Styela clava: one gene and its partner. The protein of the gene in region 2 purifies or fractionates together with the protein of the main gene of each other region. This does not show direct contact. Links are inferred from orthologs where the notes say so. Each region holds a gene or a part of one and is shown on either strand. Other genes may lie near its edges. The genes, in order: microprocessor complex subunit DGCR8-like and ribonuclease 3-like.

Region 1 (10,161 bases), on a different chromosome or scaffold from region 2:
ATTTTTTTGCTGAATCTATTATTTTATGTTATTTTTTTTTTCATTATTTTTTGTTTTTGTTTTATGTCAAATATTGACTTAAAATTGTCATTGATTTGTTGTTTTTTCATTGAAATTTTAAATGAAATATCAGAATATCTAGTTAGCCTCCGAAAATTCAATTATTCATGCCATGGGATGCGTTTTGATTGACACTTGATTACCTCATTGATGTTTGGGAAAAACTCATTGAAATTTTTTGTCAAAGTAGTGTCTACTAAATATAAAATTTACGAATTGCTAATGCGATGCATATACTTCTAGTTCACAAAGATTGTATAATATCGAAGAGTAATATCGTATTATTGTATTTTTTCTACACGTAAATAATCACAGGCTATTTTTATTCTAATTAGGTTCATCAAAAAATTAGGATAATACCCCCTGCAATTAGAGTTTTCTCCAGTCTATTCAAAAATATTTTACTGTGTCTTGCAACCAACCTCCTTAATACTTTATGGCTTATGCAAATCAGAACCACGGCCAAAACAAGCGGATATCCGAAATAGTCAATGATCAATTAGTGTCGAAGTCTTTTGCTATACCTCGCCTTACGCGTTATCTAATATACAAGCACGTACCACACGTCGAAAGCCGCCTTTTTGTATGGCCTTTGCTTGATTAGTTATACGTTGTTAATTCGCTCTGATTAGGTGTCACAACAATCGGTATGAAAGCGCGACAATTGGTCAGATCTCGTTTTGAAATTGATATTTAGCGTCAAAAATCATGGCGACAATGTCTCAAACGCTACACCGGCGTGATTTATCAATTCTGTCAGAAATGAAGCCAAAGCCTTTACATAATTGTATATTATCAATCATATATTGAAACGGCACAATATGACTTTCCCGAGTACTTAACGGTCAAATACTCACAAATTTGCAAAAATAAAAAATAAATGAAAACTGGAAAAAATTGTTACAAATGTCAGAAATTTGAAAATAAAAATATTTTATATATACATGCCAGGCCAAGATTAAATTATTCGCATTCAGCCATGGTAATGATTCGATCTCTTGTGACAACTAGATGAATTCCACCCGTGCTGTTGTTCCAGTGTTGTGTCTAACTTTGGTATACATATGGTTTTTTGTGTTCTATTCTGGACCAAACTGTTAAAAGAAAGCGCAAAGATACCAACTGTTTTGAGCGTTCTAACCGTGTAAAAAATACCAAAATGGATATGGATAATTATTGAATATGTACCACCATATAGGCACACCGTTTCCGCGCCAAATATGTTTTTTTATCAACTGATAACAGACGTAATAATAAAAACATTTTGATTATTACCAAACAAATATGAAATTGTAGGAGGAAATTTGATTAAAAAATTGTTATTTTAAGTATGCGCCATACGTGATCTGCGCCTAATCTTAGCGGGATATTTAAGGCCCATACCAGGGTCTGTAAAAAGCTTGCGAACTGTAAGTCAGTATCGATTGTCCAATGACTAGCCAATCGAAGCCCAAAACCCAATGACTAGCAGTTATGCGTTATGCTCACCAAAAGCGTTATAAATGCCAGGGATGGAAATTCGTCCAGTGGGAAAATTTTCTTTCCAAAATTCTGAAATATTTTGTCGTTCACTATTTAGTAATAATCATTCAGCAAACCTTAGATCACTTGAGGGATGCCAAATTTTTCAATTTTGTCATCTTTTGATATATAAACTCAAATTAACCATATTTAGAAAACTGTTAATTATTTCGGCACTGTCAAGATGGTAACGTGTATAGTGTGGGCGCGTAGGAACACTTCGTGATGTCACTTCCGCCCGCTTGGCTAACGCGCGTGTTATACTGAACGCTCAGTCTCATAATATAATACGTTTCGCAACTCAAGTTTTTATCTTCGGCCATTGGTACTCTATCATACCAATTGATATTTATAACCTTTTATGTGAGGCCACATATGATTCTGTAAAAACCTATCAGCTCCATTAACATATTGAATCATACCGACTTCCTGCCTCCGTCGCCCGCACTATGTTATGAATGGTTGGTTGCTATATTACCACGTATTTAATTTGAGTTTAATGGCCAATATACTAACTAATTTCCTTATTTGCCATTGTATCAGGCATATCGTTCGTAAGGCAATGATGAACCTTCATAGATAGAATTACAGTTTAATTCGATTCGAAGTACAGTTACAGTCAAGAAGGGTTACTTAAAATTTGAATACAATGATTATTACACATTCCATTTTTCTATTTATTGTTGCATAAAACCAACGTCATTATGTGCAATATTAAAATGATAAACACTGTCAAAAATATGTAACATTTACTAATTTTTCACGGTGATTTAGTCCAAAGAGATTGAACTTGAAGACATGCCCATTTTTCGAACATCGATTCAAACATGGCCAAGCACCAAAAGCAGGGTGCTATTTTTGGCCAATGAAAATGTCGTCGGTGAAATTTTGGCTAACCTGAAGATGACAGTTCTATTGCTTATTATGACGTAACCAAGGTCCAACAATTATTATTCCAATTTCGTTCTTTATATTTTAATCATAGTTATCGTGTATTATTATTTTTTGCTTTGATTGGCACATGCTTCTTTACGCTATTTGATATCTCTATCATTATTATTATTACGATTGAAAACTGTTACAACTTAAAAGTTACTATCAAATGACAGAAATGTGGATGTTTTTTTATTACTCTGAGGTCTTCGATGAATAAATTCAGGATTTCTTGTGACAGGCCTCTATGTTCCACCACCAGTTATTTGATAATAATTTTTTGGTTGAATATAATTCTTATTATTTGATTTTTCTTAATTGTGGCTGTTTTCTCCTTTCTCTCTTTGCGCTGTATGCGAGCAATATAAAGTACTTCTCACTGAATTTATATTAGTCATTTTGTTAACAGGGTTCTTGGGTGGAAATGTGATTTCAAGAAAATAACACCGTGGTATTTATGTAGCAACAAAGTACTTGGAAGTTGCAATATCGGAGTCATGCCTTGGCTTACACCATAGATTCGAAATCTACGAAGTTTTTATTGGCATCGGTTAGTCCCCCGCGAAAAATCTATGACGAGAGAAATACTGGTGACATCAACTCTCAAATTGTCAAAGAAAGTTAGAGATAATTAGTATATATGTTGTGTATTTAGTCTTATTATTTTCACCGATGATTTGGATTATTTATCACTTTGGGGTGTGGTTCCCAGGCTGTGCGTAGCGAAATATCAATCTTTAAAAAATTATCATTTACCCGCCTCGAAAAGTTTACATGAAATGATCAAATCCGTTGAAAACGTACGACTGGAAATCTGACCGCGTTATGATAGTTTATGTGCGCATACAACATTAAGTATCGCATTTATTGAATATATATATTATTAGGCTTTTCACTGTCGTAGGGATTATTATGACAAAATTATGCGCTTCAGAAGTGTGTGTACCAATGTGGAGGTAACTAATTTTGTTCGCCTACTTTACATCAAGTTGTGTAAATGTAAAGGGACTGAAACCTATGGGCAGTGGGTATGTTCACTTGGCTAACACAGACAGTCCCCGAACTCGTCATGTAACTAAAATAAGGAAAATCGGAAATAAATTGTGGCCTAACCCTAACTTGGTACACACACAACGGGAGTACCTATTATTAAGCTTTTCACCGTCGTAATTCAGTATTATAAAAAATTCGAATAACCAATGGAATAATTTTGTATGTCAAGTCGCCTAGCCTTGTGCGACAAAGTCCCCGGGTGCACCTTCAAGTACTACACTAGATAAAGTTATAGGGTATCCTCAGGGAACACCTTTCTTCGAATTCGTTACATAAGATGCACTAACTCTAAAAGGTCAGTTTGGTAAGAAATGGTTGTTTATTTCTTGGTTTCCTCACAGGCAATATATGATTCCCAACAGATTTAAAAACCTACACAATGCTGAATGCAGCATTTACTGACAGTACTTTCCCCGACAAAGATGAGTCAAATCATAGTCAGAAAGTTCTCCCTATCAAACATGGTCAAGTTACAATCGTACTTGGGCCAGTAAGCAAAATTTATTTACCATACTAAACTGTGTGAAAAAATTATTTCCCTACTGGACAGTTATTAATATAAAGGTACACACTGAATTCCCTTCCTTGCTTACGATTTTTATTGTGGCCCAGTACGATGTGCTTTTCATTTGATGATTTCCACATGTCTGCTATGTGCTTTAATCAGTAAATCATTTTACATACCGGGAATTTTCACTATTACGGTAGTAACTCAAAACTTTTAAGGTGTTTACTACAAATTGGCTGTTGTTGACGTCTTAATGGGCCAATAGAAAATAACGCATTCGAATCCTCTTACACTCATTGTCTAGTTTGGATAGGGAGCAAACATGTAGTCACTTGCACAAACAACTCAATGAACCTACAATGTTACTCGTGTTAGCGAAATGATTGTTGACTGTTGGTCCATTTCGTTTCCATCAACTTATTTGTTTTCATACTTTCTGAATAATCACTGACGAATTCCACTGTGTAGTGAAACGCATTGATTTGAACGCACCGAAAGCAGCAACCTCATGAACCCATATAAATAAATTGCCGGCGTCAAACTTATTTAACTATGATTTGTGGTAAGTGATGAATACAACTGAAGTTGATCATTTTCCCAGGAGACATAGAAACGTCAATCTTTTAATCATAGTGAACTCAGCAGTAACTGCCTCCAAGTTCAATTGTGTGATTTCAAAAAAATATCTTTATAGTGCTGGTATAGTTATTTATCATATTTAAATATTCAGTAGTCGAAGATTGAAAAGTTTTCTGAAATTCCTCTATATTCAATTGCTTTCAAAAGTGATCTTACACACTTGGCTGAAAAATCGTCACCACGTCGGTTTTCCGCCGGTTGATTTTGGCCAGAAAGCCAGTCTGCTTCAAAGCTTACTATCGCCATCTCGAGTCAGCATTATTTGTTGCATCCGTAAATATTCGTGTACGAACTTCATCTTGAATGATGGCCTACCGTACATTCACCATGTACACGCCAGTAGGGTTGGATTTCGTCTCTCTATCATTATTGTTATCATTTTTTCGTGGTATAAACTTTAACGTTAAATCTAGCTAATCGTACGGCATATATTCCATCATTTTGTTTGTTAGGATAATATTTACATATTTATCCCGGTTCCTTATTTCCAAGCCGCACCACCCGTTCCAGGCACTACCTCAGAGAACACTTCAGTATCAAACTCAGTAATTATTAGGCTACTATGATGATTGAAATGGCTAATTTTGAGATCTCGTGTGAAATAATCTTGTTTGACCTTTTTGATGAATTAATCCGACTCACTAGATTGGCATATCCCCCTGATGAAAGCCAGACAAATCCAGAGATATGCAATTTTTTCTGAATCTTGAATTATTTAGATGGATACAATCAGTTAACACTAGAGTTAGGCACGTTTCCATACGACCATATCTCATTCTCATCGTATAAATACACATGTCTTGTTGAATATTTGTCAACTTTATATTGGTACCATTTCAATGTGTTCATATCTCTGTCTACCAATTTTGGCCCAGCTTGCACGATCCAACACCAAACAGCTATACGCGTCATTGTAGTCACTTTTCGGATATTATGCTTCTCAATCTGATCACCAAAGACAACTTTGTCACAATCACCATAACGGCTATTATCATTTCCAAATATCCTCACGAGGGGACTGCAATATAATTGCGTTGGGATTCAGATTGATCAATTTTACTTAGTGGGGGTACTACACACACGCTGTATAAAATGAAGGCTATCAACTTAAATACGGATAATTTCGTCCAATCAAAGTGAAAATATTTGGATGAAATTGGAAACGATTTATTCTCCGCTCTCCAGTCTGTTTGTACATGTGTAGTACCATATTTACGGTAGTACACGTTTCTCAGGCCAGCATTCCGTTATAGTTTGCTTTTGTACGTATATATTTTAAACACTCCTCGCAGGCTTCATCGGGTTTAGCATCGAGAGGCCATATGTTTAGGCGCTTTTATCGGCTCCCCCCCCCTCTCCCGGGATAAATATGTAAATTTTATTATATAGTTATTACAGGAGAAAAGAAGAGCATAATAATATGCCGATGTAAAGCCAGCTCTCCAAACCCCATATATCGAACGTAGGTGGGGACGGGCATTTCATTTCCTCGCTTTTTCATGGTTCATCTGTAGGTAGGTATAAGATTGGCGAGTGATGACGAAACATGCTTTCGGATGGCTGCGACCTGGTTTATAGGATATTGCATTGGTTAGGTTACATATGCGTGACTTAGTGGATTGGCACGCATTACAATTGATAACGCGATGAAATATGCTTTCGGAAATTGTATCGTACACTCAGAGTCAGTATGTGTGAATGTGAGTCATCTAACTCTTATCAACGGGCTAGTGCTATTTTCATTCCAACTTCGACTGACTAACTTGCGGTGCAATATTCTGATATTATAATAATAGTGTTACTGTGATAGAATAATGCTGTAATAGCAGAATAACCATGGCAGTTTTAAACTTGTCTGCCTGTCCCTTAGTCTGTTAGTTGTCGCTTTTTGGTGTAATTATTACGGTACGGTATACCATGCTATTGGATAAAGCAACATGCTGACGATGCAGTTCATTATGCCTTTCCAAGTGGCATAATTGCACTGCATCTGAAAACATGCTGCTGTCAGTCTTCAATATTTTTATATAAAATTTAACCCCAGTTCTTGAGAATTTTAAGTGAAATGTCTGATGTAATACAAAATGACAATGGACCCGAGGTGAAAAATGGGTCAGGTTTGGAAGAAGAAGTTGAAATTAAAAAAGAATCCGTGCATGATGACGTTGAAATGATGGATGATTCTGATCATGATGACGAGGAATATGAAGATGAAGAACTTCATGAAACTGAGAATAACGTAGCAGGTCAATATTTGAATAATTTAAAAATTATTTAGTGATTTTATATATGATTATAACAATATCTTTTGCTTTTTTATAAAATTGAAGTTTCAGGGTTTTGTGCAATATTATAATGAAAATTAAAATATCAAATAATTTCTGAATTGTGTTGTATTCAACTATAATAATATACTTCCATGTTATGTCGTTTGGCATCATCTACTGCTGTACCAAAATGAACCCCTCTCATCAATCGCAGTTGAACTATTCGATCAATTTATTGACCTATGGTAAATTGTACTACAGTACTATGTTTCTCGAGCACATGAAAACAACTAGAATCTAAATTTATGAAATTCATATTGTTTTTCAACAATGGTACCGGTAATCGAATATTATTACTTCATTTTTAATTACATTTAAACTTCAAATTTATATTAGATCTGTTTATTGAAAAGTTGTTCAGTGCCACTCACAGAGTTAGGATTTAATTGTCTGTTTGTATTGGGGCTTCATGGGCTCCTAAATAGGTTGTTCTATAAAAATTATTTTATGATAATCGTCTGATATATCTCGGTTTTTTCATGATTATTGTGAATCTGCTCAAATGCAATTTAATTTTTGATAAACTACTGAATATGGTTGTCCTGGTAATGTTTTTTGATCTGATTTTTGTATTCGGTTACAGATGGACAATTGCCAAGTAGCAACCTAAACAATAGTGAAGATGCCAACGGAGAAAATCAACCTGAAGGATTGCTGGGTTACAAATACAAAACTGTGCTCAAACATGTTTCCCCGAAGGCATCAACAGAGCCGTTACCCGAGGGATGGGTAGTTCTAACTCATACAACTGGTATCCCGTTATATTTACACAAGAAGACTAAAGTTGTTACATTATCGAGACCGTTCACTTTGCTGCATGGTTTTGTAGGGAAACATAAAATAAGACTTCAAAGTATACCGTGTCTATATTATAAAAAAAATTTAGAAAAATTAAACGAATTGAAAAGTAATGTAGAATCACAGATTCAGAATTCGAACGAAGACACTGAGCAGGAAGATTTGGTAAAAGGAAAGCAGGAGCAGAATGCTAACGGAGATACAGCTTCAGATGACAAAAGTCAACTTGATGGTGTCTCTCAACCTAAAGTTATTCTTCACGATCAAAGCGACATGTGCATTGAAGACAAAGAATTAAAAGAATATTTAGAAAAACGTTTTGTATTTGAAACATTAAAAATACCACGATTTAAAAAGTGGTCACAACGTCGAGACTTTACACGAAATATGCGAAGAAAAAAATTGGAAGAAAATGATGAAAATGATTCTTCAAAAGATGTAGATGCTGATACCGGAAAACCCGGGTCCGGAAAACTTATCACGTTAACAGTTGAGCAAGAGGTAGGCCCTGATGGTACAACCAGAAATCGAAAATTCGTTTTAAATACTAACGGAAAACCAATGGTTTGCATTCTTCATGAATATGCACAAAGAGTTTTGAAAGTGCAGCCCAATTATATTTTCAACACTCGGGAAGATTCTGCCGAACCATTTGAAACAGTGATCAAGCTGAATGGAAAAGTATATGGAACAGCAGTTGCGATTAATAAAAAGACAGCCAAAAATAAAGCCGCTCTTGCTACTCTAGAAATGCTTATACCAGGATTTAAAGGACAAGTAGAAGGCGCTGCTGAAACTCCAGATATGGCATATTTCAATGACGTTTTGATTACCGATTCCAGAGTCTACGAGTTATGTATACATACTGGACAGTTACTTCCATACCAAATGCTTACTGAGTGCTTGAAACGAAACCAAGGCGTCACAGACACAACAGTAAGTTACGACGTACAGCAGGGAAAAAGAAGATCGTTAAATTATACTATGAAATGCGGAATACACGTTGTCAGCGGAGTCGCTAAAAACAAGAAAATTGGAAAACAAATGGCTGCTCAACAAATCTTACAATTACTACACCCTGAAATAAAAACATGGATGGAATTGATTACCTTATACGGAGCTTCACTCGCCCAAGAACGAGCTCGAAGAAAACGAGAGGAACAGGAGATTTTTGATCTCAAACAAAGACGAGGAAATATAGTCGAAGAGAAGCAGGAAGAACCAAGTACGAGTAAACAACAACAGAAAAGCGAAGATTCTCTCGAACCTAACCCAGAATTGCTCGCTAAATTACAAGAAATGATGTTTAAATTAGAATCGGATAGAGGGAAGAGGAAAGCTGATAATGATAATGCATTGACAGCGAAAAAAGCAAAATTGACGCCAATGGAAGCAGCAGTTGCAGCGGGGAAAGGAATGCTTAATATACCAATAGAAATGGATTTGAGTAAATAATTTTGAGTAAAAACAATCATATAACTTTCAAAATGTTGCATTTATGGCTATTTACTTAGTAAATAGATTCATATTAGTTAAACAGAATATTGTACTATGTAGCCTACTTCTTATGCTCAGAAATTTTGTGATGGGGGTTTTAGTGAAGTATTGGGTGCTTATTTCATAACTCGATCTCCTAGTTTCAACAGTATATTGTAATGAATTCATTTTAAACTCTGTCGAAGTAGAGTATTTTAGCAATTATAGGTCCTCATGTATCGAACATGTTTCACCGAACCTATGAATCTGATTTTACAATGGTGTAGGCTAAATTTTTCACCGTCAAGAAAAAAAGGATTTTTATGAAAATATTATATAAAACGCTCTTTTCAGTATGCATGGCATAAATTATTGACTGACAGCTCCATAACTCCTTGCTGTTTTCTTGGAATATATGCGAACGTTTCAGATTTGTTGATTTTTTTACTTAATCGTTCCATATTTTTAGGTATTGCAAACTTATCATTGATAATGGCTTTTTTCGAATGAGGATCCGTAATCATGTCTTTTTATTTCTATGTATGTGAATAATGTGATTATTTGTTTTCTATTCAAACCGACTTGAAATAGAGATGTCTGTATTTGAAAATTTATTTTCTCAAATTTCTGCCTTGCAATATTTTCAACGATTTTGAAATCAAATCAAATTTTACTCAGAAAATAGTGCAAATTTTTCAAGGAAATAATAATAATTTCGAATAAAAGATTTTTTCAAATACTGTGTAAATCTATATAGAAAGAATGATTTGCTCGTATTCAAGGAAATTTCACTGAAAATAAAGAAATTTAATGATCTAAATTTCCAATAAATGCCTTCTTCACACA
Region 2 (10,049 bases):
ATTTAATAATATATTTATAGCTGCTTACCCAATATACTTCAGCATCAAGGTGCTGGCAAAAAGCATTGCATTTGGATTGGCTATGCCAAGCCCCGCAATTCTGCTTCCAGTGTTTCTTGTTGCCTAAAATAAAGATTTTCTATTATTTTTAGAGTTAATTTTTTGCTATTATCCTTTTGTTGGAAGAAGTCACATTTACAATTGTATTATTTTTCATATTTAAATTTCTGAACCCAATGATGACCCACCCACTTGCCTAACTCTTGGTAATACAACTAACCACCAGTGAATGTCAACATACCGATTCAGAATATTCTCATGATTCGAAGGAGAATGATAATTTGTGTGTAAAAATCAGTGAAAAATGTACTAGTTGTTGAAAGTAAGAATATACTGATAGTTGAGATTACTTTGCCATCTGCAAAATGATATTATTTCTTTGTGACATTGACAGAACAAAAATATTAAATGACCTCCTCAGCTACTTACAGGCTCAAAGACGCGATATTCATCACCAATATTAGAACCAGCCACCATTCCTGGACCTCCAACCAAACCACAACAAATGTTACCTGATAAAAAATATGATAAATCCAATTATATAAACTGTGTCATGACGATAAAAAAAGACTGAAAAATCTATTCTCTTGAATAGGTTTTTTATTTAATTAGTCAAATTAACGCATTTCTTTTGCCAAATGAGAATGGTTGAATATATAAAGAAATAAATCATCACAAAATTTATCACATATATACAACAGTTTCTGAATACCGGTAGTACCTGAATACTATGCAGTGGATAATGCCATATATATGCTTCGATCAAGAGTTCTCAACTGCGAGCAAATTTTGCAAGCAAAAAATTTACACAATTCCCTACCGCATGAATAGGCTACCGGTTTCATTTCAGCGCATCACCAGTTGTGCAGTTGACCAATAAAATTGCAATAAAATTGAGATTGCAATGTCTTCTATTGCATAATATACGTTTTCAAACTAACTATAGGAAGACTGTCCAATCCGGTACCACTTTTGGATACGTTACATACTGCAAACTGAAATAGCATACTCCAGATGTTTTAAAATTAACCAAGGAGTAAAAGAATAGGGTTAGAAGTACTGACTCGGATGATCACTCAGATATCTAAGAATACTGTAATTTCTGTAAATAACGGATGGGAAAATAGTCTCACCAACTATATTCCCATACAAATTAGGCATGACCATAACATCGAATTGCTCAGGTTTTGACACAAGCTGCATTGTCGTGTTGTCAACGATCATATCATTGAATTCAATGTCAGGAAAATCTCTGGCAGTCTCTCGACAACATTGTAGAAATAGTCCATCTGCTAATTTCCTAAAGAAAAAGGAAGATAACACACTCAATGATTATTACTTAAATATTGGTATGAATATTGGTCATGAATGAGTTTTTTTATCATTGACCAGCCATTTATAAATACCTCAAAATAAGTGCAACGTAATGTGGACTTCATAGATCTGCATATGTAGCAGCCATAATGGTTTACATTTTATTAATTTTATGCTAATAAAATGAAATATTCCTTCCGAAGTGTTGTGAATTGTATTACAAGTGTACATGTGATGAGCGTTCTAAAAGTTCAGGAACTAACCTAGCAACATTGGTGGAATCAAAAATTTGTTGCGAATACAGCTAGAACAAGATGTGATCTGGCATCCTACATGCATATGCATCAACTGGGGTTGGTAAGCACGATAGATGTCAATCCCAATGATGCCCATAAAACTATTTCATGATATCTGAGCTGTTGTGCCAGCATGCCTATAACATATATCCAGTGGTTCTGTAGGCAGAAGATAATGAAATGCTTACATTATGTTAGCTTTATGAACAGCGGTAATCTTCTTTCTTTTATTTCTCCTCGCATATTCAAATGCAAACTTAGCAATTCGATATGATTTTTCTGCTGTGATGATTTTCAAGCTTTCTACAACACCTGGCATACTCTGAAATACAATATAAAGCATGTTTGAAATTTATACAGGATGATTCAGGAAAGAAATCAAAGATCAAAGTCAACGCTAAATATAATGTAATGAAAACAGAACATCATATCAGTCCTTCCAAAACAGATATTACCATACAAGACTAGTAAGACTGTTCATAACAATACCAAGATGTATTTGATAAGACAAAATGAGAGAATAAAACTTTGTTTTAGTCAAAGATACCGTATTTGCAATCAACTGATGGGTACAATATGCCCCATTAGCAGATCTTATTGAACTTGACGATATTTCAAGCATTTTTGAAGGGAGAAAAGTCTTAACAAGTACATTCATTGTAATGATATATTAAATACGGAACACTACTGGCAATGGGCTCACAACCATATTTTAGATGAAAAAGAGAGTTATGAATAGATTTTATACACCTAAATCAAACTCAACCATGTATCTGACTCTAAATGAAACTATAGTTTCCTTTTAATAACTCAATGTCCCTACCTCATGCTCTAAACTTGAATATTCTCCCTCTGTGTTTTCTCGAATAATACGAATATCAACGTTGTGATTTCTTCGACAAACGTCAGGAACAGATTTCACCTTCAGCACATTAGCAAACAAGTCCAGTTTTGTCCTATAAAAGAATTACCAGCAGTAAGTGTTTGACCCAGAACAAACATACCATATTGGGTTCCTACATTCAATCAGGATATATCCCTAATATATTGTAGTATATGTGTTTGATTAAATACATAGTATTTCAGTAGAGTGCAGATGGGGCAAGACCAATGACAATCAAGTTGAAGAATTTTTCCCTTCTGCATTTTAGATTTAATATCGCCAAGGTGCTCCCCTAATTATTCGACCCAATTCATGTCTTGCTCGGGAAATTGTTTAAAGAAACTGAGTTTGAAATTTGCAGCTATAACCATTAAACAAATCAAAGTGAACAACCTTATGACCATGTTTGCTGATTTCTCATCAATATCCATTTTGTCAAATTTGGTATCAATGTTTCCTGTAAGTATAAGACATTTATTCAAAATTTAGCATAAAGATATGATTATTGTTGGTTTAATAAGGGAAGCTGTCAGCCAGTGGAATATGAAACTACAACAGTATATAGCCTAGCTTTTTTGATAAAAGTTTTTTTAATAACTCCACTTTGTGAAATCACCCAAATATTTCCCAGACAGTGAAGATTTCAATTTTTTCAAGTCTTGTGTCAACTGATTTATATTGATAAGTTTGTCCCTAGAGTATATATATATATATGTGGCTCTCGAGTCTATGTGACAGCGGAGTAAGTAAAATCTTTTGTTTCAATTGACGGTTCGATACCTTGCTAAAAGCAAGCTTGGCTGAAAAAAATTTCTCCAAATGATAATGTGACCGATGAGAGATCATAGATTTTAATTAACATTTCCACCATATTCGTAACAATGATTCACAAGTAAATTAGTGATAGTGCTGACATAAATTTTGTAAAGCTGTACGTGCCTTTGATGGCAACTTCATTGCGCTTAATCGCAATAATTGCCTCCTCAGTATTTCTTTCCAAACCTTCTGACGAGATGTCAACTTTCTCAAAATCCACTGGAACACCTGGATTGAAACAATAACAGTACAAATAGATTAATATTATATACAACCATACATTTCTATCATTTTTGAATATCATTAACCAATCTTAAATGATAGAAACAATATCCAGATATCCAAAATGAAACATTTGATTCAAAATAGTTATATTGAATATTTTAAATTTGGTGTAGGAATAATTTAGGTATTTATATTAGAATGGAAAAATTATCATATTGAGCAATTGAAGTATCACATTATGACATTGTCGCAAAAAAATCTTCATTCAATTCTGAAAACTATAATAAATTGAGAACCAATCAATCATTATTTATTCAAGTTTTCCTGTATTTAAAATTTAATCTCATTCAATAGACTTTACCCTCTATGTTTGTTTTGTTGAATAAAAAGATGCAGACCTGGTTTATCACTGTTTTTGCACGTTTTTTGAGTCAGACACCCCAAAGACACACTAAAACAACCATCAACCCTTACCAGCAGTTGTAAATACTCTTTCAACAGACTTCATGATTTCAGGGCCAATTCCATCTCCAGGAATCATTGTTATAGTATGCCGCCCACCATATTGTGAAAAGTTTCTTAACAAAGAACATGATGGTCTGCAACATTGAAGTGCCTGAAACACAAATGAATCTTTTATACATATCAAGTCAGCAAAGCTGACAGTTATTAAGATCAACTGTATATATATAATCTATCATCTTTATGATAGAATCTAACCCCTTTACGATTCTAACTATTGAGTAATACATTTTTGCATAAAATCTGCCATTCCTTCATGTGAAACTGCACATGTGGTAGGAAGAACTAGGATAGGATAGGATTTACATATTTATCCCGGGGGAGAGGAAAGCCGATAAGACGGCTTATCCATATGGCAAACCACGGCCTCTCGTCCGGTTACCATTCCAAGTCGGGTATGGGATTAGTTATATTGTTTGTTTTCGGAAGCATGGACTTGGTGGTGGAGGAAGCCGTAACCGACCAGCGGTTACGTGAACCACCCAACGACGGCGAGGAGTCCAGCAATCGGGTCTCATGTAGTTTCTTACCTAACATACTTCTAGTGGGTGTAACATGACAATTTTTTTACATATCAATCCTAACCCCCACCTGACCACACCATCCAAAAATTACGTCACTACGACGTCACAGTGACGTAATAGAGCCCTTCAAACTATGCGAACAGTCATCCAAGACGCGCAGACGAGAACCCGAAATCGAACAGCTATTTCTCTCGTTTTCTCGTCGCAACGATCCCGATAGGAGAGAGGTCGTTGACGTCAGTCAGTTCTTTATCGTCGGCGCCGATGCTATTTCGGGCGATCGTACGAGTATTTGGCAAGCTCTATGACGTGATTGTGACGTCGTAGTGACGTAATTTTTGGATGGCGTAGTCAGGTGAGGGTTAGGATTGGCATGTCAAAAAATTGTTATGCTACGCCTACTAGAAGTACGTTAGGTACGAAACTACACGAGACCCCAGCAATCCTCTCGCACATAACCATCCCTGCATGGGATTCGAACCTGCGAACCCACGCAGAGTAATTAGAGGTGCGGTGGCGAGCGTATTCCTAACGCTTAGCCCATTGAGCCACACCGTCGCGCCAAACTATTGTTTTTTGCAAAAATAAAATCTAACGTGCTAAGAGTTATTAGTCTACAACAGTACAGAGGATGAGTTATTGCATTAGATACTACAATTTATTTGACATACCTTGTTTAAACTTTTCTTCCCCGCCATACCCAAAAATGAACTTGAAACAATCATCTTCGATGCCAGAAAACAGAAACAAACCCAGTCAGCAAACACAGAGTATTGAAAGAAACCTGGCGCGAGTACAAGACGATTTAATAAGACAATAGGAAGAAATAAGATGTTCAACTTTAACCCGGTATTTATTCAAGGACTAAGAAAAAAATAAAACTAAAATCTTTTTTACTTTCTTTCCTTGGGCGGCGTAAGCATAATTACAGGGCTTAAGTTAACTCATAATTGGTCGCAGTTACATGCGGTCAGCGGCGACGTCTGAACGTCGGTTTTAGATTCAATTTGTTGTTGCAATGTCGTGAAAAGAAGACTGGGCGGCATAGTTCAGTAGTTAGAACGAAGATTCATAACACAAAAGGTATGTAACTCGTATTTGTCTAGTCGTTATACAGTTATATACCCATGCCCTTAGTCTTAATAAATCTCTGGGAAAGCAGTTTGATACCTAAAAAATCTGAGAATGGTATTTCGTTGTCGTTTGCATGTGCTGATGTGGCTTGAAAGCAGAATCGATATTTTTACCTGTGAGTGATAGCCTGATACTTTTTAAAAAAATATATAAATGTGTCAATTTGTGCTCATGTCGGTCTGACAAAGTCTGAAAGTAAACGCCACAAACCGCTTGAATAACACCAAACAAAAATGTGATATGAAATTTCTATATTCTTCGAGAAAATAGGTGCATAATGAAATTCTTGACAGACGCGCTTAGTTCTGTAGTTAAAATCATTTCTACTCAATCTTCAACAAAGCAGGTAGGTCTATGTCCCATACTAAAATACATATTATAGCATTCTGCATTAAACAGACTTTTTTTTAAATAATGAAAACATGGGTGGTATTTTTACATCACATTTTGTTTGGCGTTATTTCAGCAGTTACGGCAGGGCGTTTATTTTGCGAGACCTCTCATGTCTATTACTTGAAATAAAGCGAGATACACTGCTGAGATACGATGTCAGAGTTCCAACAATCGAAGCAACTAGTACATCTAGAAATCTTGAGCATCCTTCTTATTTATGTTACTACAGGTTCTTCTTTATAAAACTGTTAACTTCAAGATGTATCCGAGGCATTCATTCCCACATGATGGCCCTCCAAGGCCACCACCCTCACATTGGGATTCAAGACCTATGCATTCGAATTACCCACACAATATGGGACCAGCATATCCTTCTCAGCACCCATATGCTCCTCCACCCCCAGAGTACATGCCACAATTCCAGCAAAATGCACCTCCACATGTCGAACATCGCTACCCTTACCCACCACATGGTCCCCATGCCGGCCATCCAAGAATGACTTACCCCAGACCACAAGATCCTCATGCGAATTTTGGAAGACCACCCTTCTATGAGCCACAGATAAGGCCTCCTGGCCATTCTAGAGACAATATGCATGGAGATTTGCTTCATCGTCATCATGATATGAGACATACAAATGAGAGGAGAGAACGAAGACATAGAGATGGTTCTCATGGAGATCGCTACCATGAAAGAGAAGTCAGGGGATCACCCCATCACAGGAGTTATTCTTCAAGAAGTGATTCTGGGCGAGATTCCCCAAATCCAAGGCGTGACGACAGAGATGAAAAACCAAGGCAAGAAAATAAAACATTGCAACCTGGTTTCATTTGGCGACATTCTAAGAATGAAAAAGAAGATCAGGAATACAATGAATCAGAATACAGTGCAGAAAAGATAGAAGAAAAGTTAAAATCACTGCAACCGAGTTATGTCCAGTGCACCCAGCATGCCCGCTATTATGGTAGAACAACAGAAAACGATTCAACTGTGAAAGCACTACCATTGTTAACAGAGCTTTATGATAAATTTGAGTCTGAGCTTTCTACTAGACATGCAAAACTATGGAAGCCAAACGAGATAATGGAGGATCCCGAAGAAATAGGCAAAACATTAGAAGAACAAGATGAAAAAGATAAAAGTTTTACTTTGTCTCAAAGACTCGAAAACTGTGACTTTAGTCAGGAATCTTTACCAAGACAGAAAAGAGTTCGAGCAGCTGCTATTGTTAGAAGGTTGGAAGATTCAGCAAGAAATCAAGAAAAACCTCTTTTAAAATACATTGAAGAGGACAACCCTAAAGTTCCAACTTTTGCTTTAGCAAAACTCAAAAGAAGGCTTGAAAGATTAACTGATAATATGAAAGAGTCTGATACTACATATGATAGCGACGGAAGCGATCCAGAGGGAGAATTTGACAACGAAGATTACTTGCAACGGGCTGGGGAACTGATCAGTTCTATTCGTAAACTCAAGCATCATGAGAAGCGTCTTCATAACGAATTATGGTATAATGACCCTGGTCAAGCTAATGATGGCCCACTCTGTCGATGCGGAGAAACTGCCCGCAAGAAAGGTATCAGACATAAAATCTACCCTGGTGAAAAACCACCCACCGGCTGGAAAAAGAATTTTAATAACATTGGTAAAATGTACAACTATCTTGTTACAATCAGTCCTCCTGTAAATTATGAGTCATCTGATCCTACAACTATTCAATATGATGGCAGAGATTATGTCTTCGAAGGTTTTTCCATTCTATCTGATGAACCACTGAGCAAACTACCATATTGTGATCTGATTCGATTTCACATTCGGTATACAATATACTTGATAGAAGAGCCAGTTCCTGAAAACTTCTGTATAAGAGGTCTTCAACTTTTTTCAGATTACTTCTTCAGAGATATTTTGGAATTATATGATTGGGTTGATATCCCAAAGTCATGCCCTGAAGAGACGAACACAGAGGTTCATAGAAAGTTCCATTTCTTTCCTCGCTTCGTGAGACCTCTTCCAGATAATGGTAAAGAAATTTTATCATTATGTGAAGTTCTTAGATATTTACTCTCCCATAATAAACCTTTGATAAGTGCGAATGATTTGACACATCTTATGAATTGTGACCACAGGGAATGGTTGAACTACACAGATAAAATCAGAGGCATGATCGTTACATTCCCTGGTTCAAAGCCAAGCTCACTAAGAGTAGATCAAGTGGATCGTTATGACAGAAAATCCGTAGAGAATCCGGATGTAAAAAACGAAGATCAAGATGATGAATATCCATTGATCATCCATTTCGGAATTCGACCTGCAAATCTAAGTTATGCAGGAGATCCACAATATCAAAGAGTGTGGAGATCATATTTGAAACTTCGTCATTTAATGGCGAATTCTCCGAAAGTAAAACAGTCTGACAAATTTAAACTAAAACGAAGGGAAGAAGCATTACAAGAAATGCGACGTGCAAAGGTGATGCAAAGAGAAGTTACAGTTGAAGTAAGCAGTAGGGGTTTCATGAAAACTGGAATATTTTCTGACATTTGTCAACATGCTCTTCTACTGCCTGTGTTGACGCATCATGTCCGATATCAACTGTGCTTGGCAACTTTGGAGAAACAGATCGGATATGAATTTAAAGATAGAAAATGGCTTAGTCATTCTATGAATCATCCCAGTTGTCAGATGAATTTTGGTTCTAATCCTGATCATGTTAGGAATGCTCTTTCAAATTGTGGCTTACGGCAACCCAAATATGGAGATAGCTCTATTCATTATAAATACACACGGAAGCGGGGTATCACGACTCTCATTAGAATTATGGCAAGGCTTGGACAAAAACGACCCGTACTTTCACCTATTGAGCATAACGAAAGATTGGAGTTTCTTGGTGATGCAGTCGTGGGTTATTTAACAAGTATACATTTGTTCTTTATGTTTCCGGAGCTTTCTGAAGGTGCACTTACGACTTTTAGAACTGTGATTGTCAACAACCAGCACCTGGCCCAACTTGCAGAAAGAATGCATTTGGATGAATTTATGCTGTACGCACATGGACCAGACTTATGCCGAAATGCAGATTTACGTCATGCCATGGCGAATTGTTTTGAAGCTCTTATGGGTGCAATATATATGGAAGCGGGTTTGGAAAAAGCACAAGAGCTATTTGCAAAGTTTTTATGGGATACTGATCAACTCCAAAAAATTTGGTTGGATATCCCATTACACCCTCTTCAAGAAGAGGAACCAGAAACAGATAGACAGTATATTGAAAGCGTGCCGATCTTGCAAAAACTGACCAAACTAGAAGATGATTTAGGATTAAAATTCACACACATCAGAATTCTAGCAAAAGCATTTACATGGCGTAATGTGCACGAGAACGTTCTTACACATGGTCACAATCAAAGATTAGAATTCCTCGGTGATTCAATTTGCAATCTTGTCACATCTACATATCTATTTGAGCTGTATCCAACCCATCATGAAGGACATTTAACTCTACTTCGTGCAACTATGGTGAATGGAAGGACACAGTCCATGGTTGCTACTGAGCTTGGCATGCCAAGGTATGTTATCACCAACATGAGCAGTGATCCTTCAAATACAGTGGGAAAACCAAGAGCTCCAGATTGGAGAGAAAAGAATTTGGCTGATCTTCTTGAAGCGTTTGTTGCTGCATTGTACATTGATAAAGGACTGGAATATGTTAAAGGTTTTATGCAGGTAAAGAGAATATTGATTTCTATTGTGAAGTGCTTTAGCCATTAATCACGTTACTCCACGTACAAGCAGCCATTGATACGCAAGGAGCAACTATTTTCAAACAAATTGAATATTTTCCATTTCAGCACCGCCTATCCAATTTATTGCACCAGGAG

What was found.
Region 1: the proteins of ribonuclease 3-like (region 2) and microprocessor complex subunit DGCR8-like purify together in Drosophila melanogaster (affinity purification with western blotting; 4 studies listed by BioGRID, with this or other methods). This does not show direct contact. The link is inferred for Styela clava from reciprocal best matches to the Drosophila melanogaster genes drosha and pasha.

Annotation. Positions count from the first base shown.
Region 1 is NC_135250.1:22,755,206-22,765,366, forward strand, and holds the start of microprocessor complex subunit DGCR8-like, read left to right. Parts: upstream 1-6,407; 5' UTR 6,408-6,779; coding exon 6,780-6,960; intron 6,961-7,624; coding exon 7,625-9,294; 3' UTR 9,295-10,161.
Region 2 is NC_135258.1:12,022,749-12,032,797, reverse strand, and holds the start of ribonuclease 3-like, read left to right. Parts: upstream 1-5,533; 5' UTR 5,534-5,723; intron 5,724-6,396; 5' UTR 6,397-6,426; coding exon 6,427-9,894; intron 9,895-10,049. Other genes in the region: isocitrate dehydrogenase [NAD] subunit gamma, mitochondrial-like, read right to left, coding at 29-123, 490-572, 1,194-1,360, 1,859-1,992, 2,494-2,626, 2,947-3,010, 3,493-3,597, 4,069-4,210 and 1 more.